2 separate regions of the Mus musculus genome follow, and region 1 is reported to be linked to region 2. The links are microRNA targets in miRTarBase. Many come from high-throughput screens and were not tested one by one. Region 2 holds a microRNA gene; the other region holds the end of a gene's coding sequence.
What was found. Region 2 holds the annotated microRNA mmu-miR-451a (AAACCGUUACCAUUACUGAGUU, at 1,825-1,846, opposite strand). A microRNA usually pairs through its seed, bases 2 to 8, with sites in the 3' UTR of a target mRNA and lowers its output. Matches are read on the target gene's strand: a 7mer-m8 pairs with bases 2 to 8, a 7mer-A1 pairs with bases 2 to 7 and ends in A, and an 8mer does both.

Region 1: miRTarBase lists Abhd17b as a target of mmu-miR-451a. Seed matches in the 3' UTR shown: 7mer-m8 at 3,045-3,051.

The regions. Positions count from the first base shown.
Region 1 is chr19:21,683,428-21,687,816 of GRCm38, reverse strand. It overlaps Abhd17b (abhydrolase domain containing 17B), which reads right to left. Exons shown (of 4, transcript NM_146096.3): 4 at 2,180-3,719. The coding sequence ends at 3,500. Among named protein-coding and RNA genes, the nearest start is that of Abhd17b, 32 kb to the right of the region's middle.
Region 2 is chr11:78,070,643-78,075,031 of GRCm38, reverse strand. Mir451a (microRNA 451a) reads right to left here and starts at 1,862; the gene lies at 1,791-1,862. Eral1 (Era (G-protein)-like 1 (E. coli)) reads left to right here. Exons shown (of 10, transcript NM_022313.2): 8 at 405-554; 9 at 672-752; 10 at 858-1,656. The coding sequence ends at 980. Mir144 (microRNA 144) reads right to left here and starts at 2,027; the gene lies at 1,962-2,027. Mir451b (microRNA 451b) reads left to right here and starts at 1,791; the gene lies at 1,791-1,862.

The sequences.
Region 1 (4,389 bases), not on the chromosome of region 2:
TAGGAAGGAAATAAAATTATTCCATTGTGCAGATGATGCAGTATTTAGAAAAACCTAAGACTCTATAAAGAACAAATTCAATATTGTAGGATACAAAATTAATAGCTTTTCTATATATCAGTACAAAAATCAGCTAATGCCTTTAGTCCCAGCCCTAGAAAGGCAGAAGCAGGCAGATCTGTGAGTTCGAGGCCAGCCTGGTCTACAGAGTGAGTTCCAGGACAGCCAGGACTACACAGAGAAACCCTGTCTTGAAAAACAAGAAAAGATAAAATAATAACAAAAAGAAATCTGCTAAAATAATGAAAGCAGTCTTACAACAACTATAACAAAAGAAAATGACATAAAACTTAAGCAAAGAAGCCCTCTGTAATAATTACAGAACACTGATAAGAAATATTAGACACAGAAAGTAAAATGCAAATACCTTCCATAGTCACTGACTCAACATTGTTTAAAAAAGTCCACGTTTCTTAAAGTGATCTCTATTTGGACACAACCCCCATCAAAATATCAGTATTGTTATTCTTCACAGAACTAAGAACTAGAAAAAACAATGCTGAAGTTCACATGGAAGCACAAAAGCCTCCAAATAGCGATCTTGGGCAAAATGACCAAAGCAAGGTGTGTCAGAGCACTACCAACCAAACCTGACATGCTATCAGCCTAAAGCAGCCCCTCTATCAATGGAGACAGACAGAAACACACACACACACACACACACACACACACACACACACACACACACACACACCTCACAGCGAGCTCATTCTCACCAAAAGCACCACAAACATGCCCAGGAGAAAGGGCAGCCTCTTCAATAAACAGTACCAGGAAGCTGGATGGCAAGAGGCTCCTCTCTTCTATTCTATGCAAAACAGACTCAAGGTGGATCAAGGGCCTAAATCAAAGAGCTGACACTCTCAAACTCCAGGGAAAATAAAAATGAAATAGTTGAGAAACTGGTAACCGCAATGGCTATTTGGATAGGACCCTAAACACAGGAAACAATAGTAAAAATCAGATGTATGACCACACTGAGTAAATTTGCTTTTTACTGTTTTGTCTGTTTTTGTTTTTTTGAGACAGGGTTTCTGTGTACCCTGGCTGTCCTTGAAAGTATATTTTTTTAGACCAGACTGGCCTCAAACTCAGAGATCCACATGCCTCTGCCTTCTAAGTGTAGGGATTAAAGGCGTGTGCCACCACCACCTGCCTCTGCTTTTCACTGTTAATCTGGATCTTTTAATGGGCTTATTAAAGATGTATGCCAAGCCTGGCTTGTTAGGGCTGCTAGGGAACAAGCTCTGACCTTACCTCTGGCCACAGTTAGAGAGACAGGAGCTGAGACAGTGGTGGGCTGGACTACTCTTTAACGGGCACTATTTAGCTATGCATATCCTCGCCCTCTACTTAAACCTAATGTCAGGACTCCAAAGATGGACCTGGAAAGAGGGCTCTGTGGACCTCTGTTTTTGACTTACTTTTTACTACTGTTTAATTGGCTTCTTGAAAATGTCAGAGCCCAGGCTCTGGCCAATTAAATAATTAGTATGGTAACAAGCAGATTAGTGAACAAGTGAAATGTGTCACACAACCACAACAGAGCATTACTTTAAGGAATGAAATCCTGCCATATGCAATAAGATGAATGAAATTAAAGATGATTATGTTAAGTAAATAAGCCAGGTATAGAATGATAAGCATGATGTTTTCTTTTCCACACAGAATCTAAAACAGTTGATCTATAAGTAGAATACTGAAGACGAGTGTGGTGGTGTACACCTTCGACCCCAGCACTCGGGAGGCAGAGCCAGGCACACCTCTGTGAATTCAAGGTCAGCCTGTTCCAAATAGCAAGTTTCAGGATAGCCAGGCCTACATAGTGAGACCCTGTCTCAAAAAAATCAAACCAGCCAATCACCCAACAAACCAAACCAAACCAAACCAAACCAAACCAATGCAGGATTCTTACTGTTAAGAGACCTGGAAGGTGGTGGAAAACAGAAGGCTACAGCCATTCACATATGTGGAAATATCAAAGCAACCTTCTTAAATGTATACTTAGAATGTTAAAACAAAATTTTAAAGATACAGAAAACTTCAGGAAGGTGTTGTGACTTTTCCTCTTTCTGTGGGGGTGAGGAGTTCAGAAGAAGGCACACAAGCACAGCCGAGTGGTACATTTGTTGTTTTACTGTGAATTTGACATAGCTGAACCAAAGGATTCACAATATTTGATATACTTTGAAGATCGTGTACTATAATCTTAGACATAACCACAGAACAAGCAGAACAATTAAAATTACATAAGGCCTTAAAAACATATCCACAGTGTGTATTATTTTGATTCTCATTCATTACAAATTAAGACTATATACCATTAGTTTATTTTTTATTTTTCTTTCATTTTTCAGGCAGGATTCATTCAAGGAAAGGCAACTTAGTTTTTGTGTGTGAGCTTTATTTATTTATTTTATTTTTTTTACTATACTGGTTAATATAAAATGTATGGCATGTTTTCTTATCCCCTGCATTCAGGAGGGAACCCATGACATTCTCAGATACTACTCCAAAAGAACAGGCCCTACTCTTAAAAACAGCAGAGGTGGAAAGGAACCAAACAGCCAGTCTCTCTGTGGTCTTGAAGATCAACTAACGGAGTTTCAAGTATTCATATAAGGAAGACTACTACAGTTCTAATAATTAGTCAAATTTAAAACAACATTGCATACAAAATCATTCTTGAAGCCCTAACTGTCCTTTAAATAACTGAATGAAAATGTTAAGTAGTTGTCTCACAGTACCAAACATAAGTCAGAACTAGTTAAAATCCAGCGCCATCAGGACTTCTCAGTGACAGGATGAAGAGCTGCTAAGTTAACAGATGGCATAAAAATTAAGACTTCATTTTTTTAAAGGATAAATGTACTATAATTGGAGAATACAGAAAAGTCAATGCATTTTTTTTAACAATAAAATAACCATTTAAGCCTCTATCCCTGTACAGTGGAGTATATATCAACTCAATTTGGATGTTTTCAAACCGTTTTGTTTTTTACAGTTTATTCTGAGTACTTGAATTGCTTTAGATATACAGCTTTTTGAAAGAATATTACATTTGTATACCAGGATATTTAGTACATTGAGATGTTTAAAAATATTTATAAATTTGCTTTTGATATGCAAAAGCATTTGACAATACTTTTACAGCATTTGATTTTATAGAATTAAAATTTCATACAGTACTCATCTTGATGTTTAAAAAAAATTCACAGAAAAAATATAAATTACACAGCCTGACTGCATGATACTGCTATTTCCAGTTTCAAGTTATGGTAATTAAAACCTTCATTAAGTCTGTTAACAAATCATTACCTGTACAGTTATGAAGGCAACTTACATGATTTGTAAACAAAACCTTCAGGTTTTATGTTATTTACCAAGGAGTGCAGTTCAGCAAGAAAAGAAAACCCAGTCTGCAAATTTACAGAGTAGTTTACAAATTTACCAGTTCCTGTGACACGAACTGTTTTAACCTCTCAAGGTATTGTCCATAAAGCTCCACGTCATTGTGTCCTGCCCCTTCAACCCACAGGGGCTCCACAGGTCTTTGGCAGCGCTCAAACAATGCGAGGCCATGGGAAAAGTCAATGACTTCATCTTCAGTCCCGTGAATTATTAATACTGGAGAGGTTATCTTAGAGATTTTGTCAATGCTAGAGAGAATAAGAGAAAGGAAAAAAGCTCAATGAACTGTAGAAAAAAGGAAGTTTCCTGTGTTAGAACAGAAAATTCAAACATTAGAACTGTACAGTAACTCAGCTTTAGGGATGGAAGTCAACTTCAGTAAGATCCAAAGGCCGTCCATCCTTTCCATGACCTCTACGGTGCTGCAGGAAGTTACCTCTGCACAGTTGCTCTGCTTGGACACTGCCACCCTTACATGGAAGCGCTGCCTCGATGCTGAATTTCCCCTAGGCTTCTTAACCCAAGGACCATGCCTGCCTGGGCTAACTTCATTCCCTACTGCACTTATTTTATTCTATCAGTTATTAAAACTCAAGCAAAATCCTTTGGGTTTGTTCTGGTTTAAGGTTAAAAACAGAGAGGAAAACATAAAAAATAGTTTGAAGCTACAAATCGGATGAGTCTATGAAATAGCTATTATATTAGTAAGACAGGTAAAAACACAATGCCAATCAACTAGAAGGTAAAGTGAAGCAGCCTCCAGGCTACAATGGAATACCCTAGCTCTGGCCAAGACATTGCCACGGAGATGAAGGTGGGGGCTGAAACATGATGGAATCCTTCAAACTCTGTTTACAACACAGTAAGGTCCTTCTTTCTCAGACTTCCTGGAAAAGCTGAGTAACTTTCTTCAACTCT
Region 2 (4,389 bases):
AGCCAAGCAACATAGAGACCAGAAACAAAGTTAGGAATGTATCTCAGTTGGTAGAATGCTTGTCTCGTGTGCTGGATTCAGTATCTAGCCCCACATAAGCTGGACACACACGTGGGTGCACACCTGCTACTATAGCATTTAGGAGATAGAGACAGGAAGATTGGAGGCTCATTCCCAGCCTGGACAAACGAGGATGGACAAGGCCAGCTTGATCTGCCTGAGATGCTCTCTTAAAGGTGTTTCAGTCAGTTGTGGCAGCTCGCCCCTGTAGTCAGCTACTATGTAGTAATTTTAAGGTCAGCTTGGGCTACATGAGGATGGGTCATAGCCTTTTCCTCCTAGAAGCATGCATAAACAAATGTTCTGATGGGGGTTAAGAACCTACTCTTCCTTTGTTCCCACAGCAATACCTTCTGACACAGGCCCAGCCAGGACCCTGGGAGTTCCACAGTGGTGTGCTCACTAGCCAGACACCCGAAGAGATCTGTGCCAATAAAATCAGAGAGAAGCTCTTAGAGTACCTGCCTGAGGAGGTGCCCTACGGTGTGCAGCAGGTGTGGGCAGAGGAAAAGGACACAGTGCCTGTATACCAGGCACACCCCTGGAACAGTTGGGTACCAAGAGATACAGAGATGAGCCTGCCTGATTAGTCCTGATGTCTCCTTATACAGAAGACAGTGATATGGGAGGAAGGACCAAGTGGAGAGCTAGTGATCCAACAGAACCTTCTGGTGCCCAAAGAATCTCATGTGGTAAGTGAGGGATGCTCAGAGAAGGGTAGCAGTGTTACCCATGGCCTCTTCCCCATCTGTGAGGCCAAGAGCAGAACCATGTGCCTCTCTTTTCACTACTTGCAGAGGATCCTGATTGGTCAGAAGGGCCTCTTGATCTCCCAGATTGCACAGGAGGTGGGCCGGGACCTCATGGACATCTTCCACTGTGACGTTCTCATCCGCCTCTCTGTGAAACTCCTCAAATGACCATCCTCTGTTGCTTCTCCCAGTGGATCCCTGCTCAAGCTGCTGGCAGAGTCACTGACTAGAACTACCCCTGTCAGAGGGGTCTACAGGACTGGGAAGGGCCATGGACACTGACTGGTTTCCATTGTGAGGGACCCATAGCTACAGCTGCATATGTAGCAGAGGATGGCCTAGTCGGTCGGTCATCAATGGGAGGAGAGGCCCTTGGTCCTGTGAAGGTCCTGTGCCAGCCAGCCTGGCATTGCCGAGTCTGCACAGTGCTTGCCCAACCATGTTTCCACTTAGCTCAGTTCTCGGGGCGTTCCTCTGCCTAGGGTCTCAGTCAGTTGTATAGGATACATGCTGAACCACACCCTAGAACCCATGGTTCTAAGTCATGTCCACCCCGCTAGCATTGGAACCAAACTCTTGCCCTGAGTTTCCAGTTGTTGGTAGGAACACAATTTTTCTCTTCTCCCCCAAGTTCCTCACCTTGAAGTTGCATAAGGACCCGTGTTTCCTTTTTCTTTTATTATTATTATTATTTTTTTTTTTGAGACCGGGTTCTTACCCTACAACTCTGACTGGCTGGCTATCTCTACATAGATCAGGCTAGCTTTAAACTCACAAAGGTCCTCCCATCCCATCCAACCACCCAGCCTCGGATGCTAATAAAGTTAAATGACAAGTGCTCTTATTCTTATCTTTTATTTCTTTGGCACAGTGAAGAGGAAAATGTACCCTTTCCCCCAACCCCATTCTCTTGTCAGCCTGGGTGTCCTTTTCTTCCAGCAGTCTGCTCCAGGGTCATGAGCTCTTCTTGGCACAGTTTGTGGGAGCAGCAAGAGAACCGTTACCATTACTAAACTCAGTAATGGTAACGGTTTCCTCGCCATTCCCAAGTGCCACAGCTGTCAGCAGGCTTGATTAGGCCGAGCAGTGAGCCCGTGTACTTCTGCATCTCTGCTGCAAACCAGGCAGGCTCTGGAGGTGGGGTACCCAGACTAGTACATCATCTATACTGTAGTGTCTCATCACAAACTTACAGTATATGATGATATCCCAGCCAAGGTCCTGGAGGAGGAGGTGAGCAGCAGGCCTGGAGTGAGCCAGGGGATTGGCTCAGGGTCAGTCAGGGACACCTAAGTCCCTACCTCTGCTCCTCCACTTCCCTCCCAGAGCAGCATCTCCCTGATCCTGTGGTCCAGGATAACCCCAGGTGGCTTAGAGAAGGAAGCTAAGGTCTACTCGGGTCTCTTAGGGATCCAGAGTTACAGGCAGAAACGAAGTTGTGAGGCAGGAGCTTCCCTCTGGGCAGACCTATAAGCAGGCTGACAGCCACTCCAAGGACTGCTTACCTGGAGCTGGAGTGGAGCTGGAGCCTCGTCCAGGGAATCCTCTGCACAGGGAGAGCCTGCCTTGTCTCTTCTCACTCAAGCAGCTTGGCTTTTAACCCTCTGGCCCCTCCCCTGGGTGGGGCACGTTTTCCCGGGTTCTAGAAGTCCCTGCTTCTTAACTCTTTGCCTGCTGGCTTCCTGAGACAAGCTGAGGCTTGGCTCCCTTTTTGTTTATCTTCTGCTTAGTTTCCTGTGCTGGGAATGAAACTGAAGGCTGAAGATGCTAGCCAAGAACCCCAACACTGACACTACACCGCCACCCTGCCTCCCGTCTTCTAAGTGGGTGACCATTCACCCCCAACCCCACAAAGAAGGTTACCTGCCTACCCCACTGGGCTAGGAAAGAGAAAGACCCTCACCACGTCCTTCAGGGCTTAGTTGTTCGGGCCTCGCTGAAAGGTCCCAGTTTGTTGTGGGTGATGATGGGAATGTTAGTTGAATCTGAATAGGACAGGGAGGTCCTGGCAACTGGACCTAGATGGAATCTATCTGGGAGCAGGCTCCATGTACCCTCAGCCTGACTCCATCCCTAGGCTTTGACTCTGTTTGAGCTGGGTGGGCAGAGCTGAAGCTTGCAAGCCACCTCTGGCAAGGTCCGTGGACAAGTGGGCCTCTGCTGGGAAGCTGAGGAGCACCTCAGCCCCCAGGCCTTGTGGGAGCCAGTGTAAGGGCCGGGGCATTTCATCAGAGCTCAAGACACAATGAGAGCCTGATATGTTTGGGTCTCTCCCTGTGGAGAAGCAGAAACTTGTGCTGAGACACTCCCCACAGCTGAGCCTCTGCTATTTAGACCCTCATTCTGGGGGATGTTCCGCCCCCTTTCTTATCCTAGACAGTCTGGTCTGTTTCTTCCTTTGAGGGTGGGGGGTGAGGGGTGGTGAATGGGAGTGGGAGGAGAGACCTAACCTTCGGTTCTGTGGAGGTGTCTATTTCCAGCATTGCTCCACCTCTGCCATGCCTGATCTCCCCTCACCTAGTTAGCACTGTCAGGTCCCTAAGTGTCCCTGCCACAGGGACGCTTCTCTATCTATTCACTCTTTAATTTATTTATTTATTTTTTTTGGTTTGGTTTTTCCAGACAGGGTTTCTCTGTATAGCCCTGGCTGTCCTGGAACTCACTTTGTAGACCAGGCTGGCCTCGAACTCAGAAATCCGCCTGCCTCTGCCTCCCGAGTGCTAGGATTAAAGGCGTGCGCCACCACGCCCGGCCTTTAATTTTCTTTAAAGACACATCTTATGTAGGTATGAGTGACAGTGCTTTTATTATTGTTTCTTTGTTTTGTCCTGAGAAAGGATCTCACTGTGTATCCCTGGATGGCCTGGAACTTTGTATGTAGCCCAGGCTGGCCTGGAACTTAGAGATCTGGCAGCCTCTGCCTCCTGAGTGCTTGGGTTAGAGGTGTGCAATATCTTGCCATGGTCTCCTTTTATTACTGAAACAGAATCTCATGTGGCCTCACATTCTATTTTCCTTTGTTTGTGAAGATGGGCTTTCTCTGTAGACTTGTGTCCTGAAACTATAAACCAGGCTGGCCTTGAACTCACAGAGATCTGCCTGCCTCTGCCTCTGATTGCTGGGGGTAAAGGCCTGTGCTATCACCACCTGCTCAAATTCCATTTGTAACTGAGGATGGCACTGAACTTCTGAGCTTCCTGTGTCTGATTACTGAGTGCAAGGGCTGCAGGCCTTCACCACTATGCCAGGTTTCTTCAGTGCTGAGAATGGACCCAGAGCCTTACGGCTGTGAGCAAGCATTGGAACAACTCCACTGCACCTCCGCCCTCTGCCCCTCTTTTCACTTTCTGTTTTGGGTTGCTCAGGCTGACATTGAAGCTAACTGTATAGTTTAGGCAGCCCTTGATTTTTTTTTAATCCTCCTGCCTCAAGCCTCCCAAGTAACTGGCATTACAGGCCTTTGCCAGCAGGCTGACTTGCATAAAGTGCTTTTACAAGGCACAGATGCTAGCCACTGGAGTTCAAATAAGCGAAGGCCCAAGTCTGCTCTGCTACCCACAGAGGACCACAGGGAAGG